2 linked regions of the Xenopus tropicalis genome follow. The protein of the gene in region 2 binds, or shares a complex with, the protein of the main gene of each other region. Links are inferred from orthologs where the notes say so. Each region holds a gene or a part of one and is shown on either strand. Other genes may lie near its edges. The genes, in order: triap1 and prelid1.

Region 1 (2,067 bases), on a different chromosome or scaffold from region 2:
GTGTTATATACGAGTATCAAAAAACTTGGTCCAGCAAATCTATACAAGTAATTCCACTATGGTAGGTTTACAAACATACTCCATGGACTCCTTAAGTATATGAAGAATACTCATACTCTTATTGCTCTCAGCACAAATATACATGTTAATCTATGACCTACAAAGGCCAACCATATGATATAGAATAAAATTGCAATGAGGCTGAAAACAGCAACAGGAATAGCAAAAATGAGTTAAAAATACAGTGAAAGAGTAGAATCCGAGGTTGATTTGTTTTGCTAAGGGGGGGCACATAAGGGATATCTTCTGGTTGGACACCCCACTGTACACTGTTTTGCTGCAGTCTGTATTTCTAGTTCAGCGCTGCACCTCGAGATTTAGCAATAAAACCCCTTTACACACCAAGCTTCCCCCTGGCCGGAAATGTGAAGATCAATTTTTACTAATTAATCCCCTGAAGACACCATGTGCTTAACCTTAACCCCCTAAACACACAAATATATATGTATGAAGACAGCAAATACTCGCCGTACAAACTGATTGTTACTTTGTTATTTATTATAAAAGTATTTTTCATTTCTAGGCGTGCAGGGGATATGACGTTATGGGCCCACTCTCTTCCGGGGCCCGCGTTGGGTCAGGAGGAGCCGTCGGATTCTGTTTTTGATTTACTAGGCCCCATAAAGTCCACTCCGTCCACCGGGATGTCCTTGTCCTTAATGGCTTTCTGAATAAAGGAAAGGGTATTAGTGCGCTGCTATAAAATGCCCATGTTATTATCACTATACAGAGTGCATTACCCACCTGAACACAATCTCTATACCGCCTGAAGAGCTCGGTGCACGGATCGCCACTACATTCTCCCTTTAAAAATTTCTCCGCAAACCAGCGGTTGAAGCACTGGTCATACTCCCGCTTCATATCCGTGCATTCCTCACCCACGCTGTTCATGCTGCCCGCAACAAACTCCTGACGAACACAGGTATTTCTTCACCTCGCAAATCTTTCTACGGAGAGCGAGATGCCGCGGCAGCCATCTTGTCCTAGGGCAGAGTCGCGACTGTCATCTTACAACACAAGCACGTCTATTGGCTGAAACCTTTTTTTTTTTTTATAAATGGCCGCCATCACCTCTTCATCAAGGTTACTGGAGAAACGCACGGTGGTGGTTCTAATATGACGTCATATTAAAGAGCCGCGCAAAATGTGGTTCCGAGCGCCGCTCTGCACCGCTTGGATTTCTGGTTTCCGACGTTCGTTGTCGGCGCAGAGTAAGGTATCATTTAGCTTATAATGACACTGCGCGTCAAGGTTTAGTCTAACGAATATCCTTGTACGACGCTGAAGTCGGGATTCTTATGTAGATATACCAGCTCACGGGCTTCCAGCTATTGCTGGACTACAAACTAGTAGAAACCGCTGTTGGGGATTAAGATGTCGCTATTTTCAATTTATAGGTACCGCCTAAACCAACATGGGACCTTCAACCCGAGATCAGAAACCAGGTGCGCACTCATATGCATGATTATAATTTAGTGCATAACTTAATTATGTATTACGGTTTCTCTATGCGCCCCCTACTGTTCATGTGTGCTCTATTCCCAGGTCATGTTAATCAAGAAAAGTATATAAATGTAAAACTACCTCTAAAGACAGACTATATATCACGTACATAATACATTTTACCAATTTTCAGAAACCCCTGATTAGCCTAGACACAATTGACCATCTTGAGCGGCTAGCATTAGTGGATTTCGGAAACGTAGAAGGCGTGCAGCGGCTTGAGAAGGCCATACAGTTTGCTGATCAGCTGCACAATGTCAACACAGAGGGAGTGGAACCTTTATCATCTGTGTTAGAAGACAGGTAATGTAATCTATATCTTCAACCATATCTCCCAATGATAAGTCTAAAACAACTGGACTTGCAAAGTAATCTTGAACATTTCACTACCTAGTAGTAAACTGTTTTAAGATTATTCAGCAAGTCCAGTTACTTGACACTTATCACTAAGAGATACTGCATAAATTAATATGTTATCATTTAGCTACCATGATAGAGCAGCAG
Region 2 (3,132 bases):
AATGCATATAAAAAAAAACTAATAGATTGGTGGTCTGATTGTTCAAGCCTTATGGCCATCAGATTGTTTGTAGCTGGTTAAATGTTGTCTCCAATTGCAGGTGCTGGAGTCCTGCATCTGCATACAACTAACTCCCAAATGCTTAAAACTATAAAAGGATTTTTTGTGTTTATTGCCTCTAGCAGTATTGGTGCTTGACATTGTAGTACTGGGGTCTTGAGTACATTTCAGATCAGGGCACTGTCTGTGGTGGAGGTTGTGGGTTCTCCCCCTATTTGTAGGGGGGCAACATGGGCTGATAAAAGCTGCAATCAGCTTATTGTCACGTGTATAACCCAATACCTGGCTAAAAGTTGGGCAGATCAGGGTGAGGAAGCACATCATCTTGTTTATGTGGTCCTCGCCCCGATAGCCCATCAATGTGATCCAATTGTTGGCTTGTGGACCAAATGATCAAGCTGATAACGCCCATCTTGGGTGGACATATCGGGAAAAAGATCTGCTCGTTTGCTGAACTCCACAAACAACCAGATCTTTTAGTGTATGGTTAGCTTGGGTTTGATCCGGGCTCTTTTTTTTTTTTTCCTTCAACCATTCAAACCACACTGCTTGGTTAGGCAACCCTATTGTATGTTTGAATTATGACAATTAAATGTGGCGACTGACGGGTATGAAGAAAACTCCAACAGGGTGAAGAAAATATCAGAGCTATTTAAAGAGAAATAAAACAAGGTAGTTACCTTTACAAAACCCAGTCTTTTATGTGATCCCAAGCCTGTATATGTGAGGGTGCAAGCAAGCAAAAAACTTCCAGGCATTGTAATTAGATAATTATTTAATCATAACTTAAAGCATAGAAAAGAGTAATTTGTGATTCATTGTATTCACATTTCAGATTTTTTTTTTTTCTGGATTTGAAAGGAACTAGAGGAAAGAAATATGATTTCAAAAGATGCTAGTTTGATGGACATTGGTTCAGGTGATAGATGAACCCAGCAGTATTGCCAGCTTCTGGTGCCTGAAACTGAGTGGCCCATGGTCTTGGCCAACAAACCCTTAAACATATTGCTGCTTCTTTGTTGTAGCTGCCTTGCTGGCCAAGTCTTTGGCTTTCTCCTTTGCTGCCAGTGCAGTCTCCTTTGCCTTTTCTGTTGCTTCTTTTGCTGTTTCAACAAGGGTCCTATGAGGCACATCACCTAAGATGGTGCAGTAAATAAATCAGTTATTCTTGAATCAACTATTCATAAACTATCTGCAGAGAGACAAAGGCTACTGGGTAAGAGATAACTACGCAGTAGCAATAGTCTGGGTATCTTTAAACTTCTTTATATTTATCCACCTACCTTGCATTTTTCCCAGAATAAATTCAAAGCCCTTCATTGCCTTGGTCACATTACTTTTAAAACGAGCGAGACCAAACTCCTTAAAAAACAAAACAGAAAAAAGAATTGTTACAACCTTTCAGGACCATACTATAGCAAAAAAAAAATAAATAAAAAAAAATTATATTTTACAGTCATGGCCAAAATTGTTGGCACCCCAGAAAATCAAGTATTTCTCACAGAAAAGTATTGCAGTAACACATGTTTTGCTATACACATGTTTATTCCCTTTGTGTGTATTGGAATAGAACAAAAAAGGGAGGAAAAAAAGCAAATTGGACATAATGTCACACAAAACTCCAAAAATGGGCCAGACAAAATTATTGGCACCCTTAACTTAATATTTGGTTGCACACCCTTTGGAAATAATAACTGAAATCAGTCGCTTCCTATAACCATCAATAAGCTTCTTACACCTCTCACTGGGAATTTTGGACCATTCTTCCTTTGCAAACTGCTCCAGGTATCTCTTATTTTCCCAACATCAATTTTAAGATCTCTCCACAGATGTTCAATGGGATTTAGATCTGGACTCATTGCTGGCCACTTCATAACTCTCCAGCGCTTTGTTGCCATCCATTTCTGGGTGCTTTTTGACGTATGTTTGGGGTCATTGTCCTGCTGGAAGTCCCAAGATCTCGGACGCAAACACAGCTTTCTGACACTGGGCTCTACAGTGCGACCCAAAATCATTTGGTAATCCTCAGATTTCATGATGCCATGCACACATTCAAGGCACCCAGTGCCAGAGGCAGAAAGACAACCCCAAAACATAATTGAACCTCCACCATATTTCACTGTAGGTACTGTGTTCTTTTCATTGTAGGCCTCATTCTGTTTTTGGTAAACAGTAGAATGATGTGCTTTACCAAAAAGCTCTATCTTGGTCTCATCTGTCCACAAGATGTTTTCCCAGAAGGATTGTGGCTTACTCAAGTACATTTTGGCAAACTGTAGTCTTGCTTTTTTATGCCTCTGTGTCAGCAGTGGGGTCCTCCTGGGTCTCCTGCCATAGCATTTCATTTAAATGACGGATAGTTCGCTGTGACACTGATGCTCCCTGAGCCTGCAGGACAGCTTGAATTTCTTTGGAACTTGTTTGGGGCTACTTATCCACCATCCGGACTATCCTGCGTTGCAACCTTTCATCAATTTTTCTCTTCCGTCCACGCCCTGGAAGATTAGCTACAGTGCCATGCGTTGCAAACTTCTTGATAATGTCGCGCACTGTGGACAAAGGCAAATCTAGATCTCTGGAGATGGACTTGTAACCTTGAGATTGTTGATATTTTTCCACAATTTTGGTTCTCAAGTCAAGACAGTTCTCTTCTCCTCTTTCTGTTGTCCATGCTTAGTGTGGCACACACAGACACACAATGCAAAGACTAAGTGAACTTCTCTCCTTTTTATCTGCTTTTAGGTGTGATTTTTATATTGCCCACACCTGTTACTTGCCCCAGGTGAGTTTAACATGTTTGAAACAATCTTATTTATCCACAATTTTGAAAAGGTGCCAATAATTTTGTCCAGCCCATTTTTGGAGTTTTGTGTGACATTATGTCCCATTTGCTTTTTTTCCTCCCTTTTTTTGTCCTGTTTTAAGCAGCCCTAAGCCATAAGACTAATAATAGGTACATATCTTTCTTATGGGCTTTAGTTGCAAATTTTGTGAAAAATAAACTTATTGCAGTATTCATCCACCACCCTTCCATCCTATTTACTGCTTAAAAAACAAGCTCCCTTGTATAAA

What was found.
Region 1: the proteins of prelid1 (region 2) and triap1 are in contact, whole or in part, in a crystal structure (PDB 6I3V), measured with the Homo sapiens proteins. The link is inferred for Xenopus tropicalis from reciprocal best matches to the Homo sapiens genes PRELID1 and TRIAP1. Residues at the interface, in NP_037369.1 of Homo sapiens: Trp15, Asp16, Phe19, Ala20, Trp23, Gln24, Tyr26, Pro27, Val34, Leu35, Thr36, Glu37, Asp38, Ile39, Val40, His41, Arg42, Val44, Gln48, Lys49, Leu50, Leu51, Ser52, Arg53, Leu55, Thr57, Tyr79, Leu81, Asp83, Ser84; in NP_057483.1 of Homo sapiens: Met1, Asn2, Ser3, Val4, Lys12, Tyr15, Asp16, Phe19, Asn20, Trp22, Phe23, Phe27, Leu28, Gly30, Asp31, Ser32, Phe41, Tyr44, Gln45, Val48, Gln49, Ile52, Ile57, Pro58, Ile59, Leu62, Glu63, Phe64, Met65, Gly66.

What each region holds. Positions count from the first base shown.
Region 1 is NC_030677.2:151,738,197-151,740,263, forward strand, and holds triap1 (TP53-regulated inhibitor of apoptosis 1), read right to left. Parts: upstream 999-2,067; 5' UTR 952-998; coding exon 805-951; intron 728-804; coding exon 638-727; 3' UTR 566-637; downstream 1-565. Other genes in the region: gatc (glutamyl-tRNA(Gln) amidotransferase subunit C, mitochondrial), read left to right, coding at 1,205-1,276, 1,458-1,505, 1,697-1,866. UniProt on the Homo sapiens protein: Involved in the modulation of the mitochondrial apoptotic pathway by ensuring the accumulation of cardiolipin (CL) in mitochondrial membranes.
Region 2 is NC_030679.2:46,172,969-46,176,100, forward strand, and holds the end of prelid1 (PRELI domain-containing protein 1, mitochondrial), read right to left. Parts: intron 1,423-3,132; coding exon 1,344-1,422; intron 1,197-1,343; coding exon 1,057-1,196; 3' UTR 828-1,056; downstream 1-827. UniProt on the Homo sapiens protein: Involved in the modulation of the mitochondrial apoptotic pathway by ensuring the accumulation of cardiolipin (CL) in mitochondrial membranes.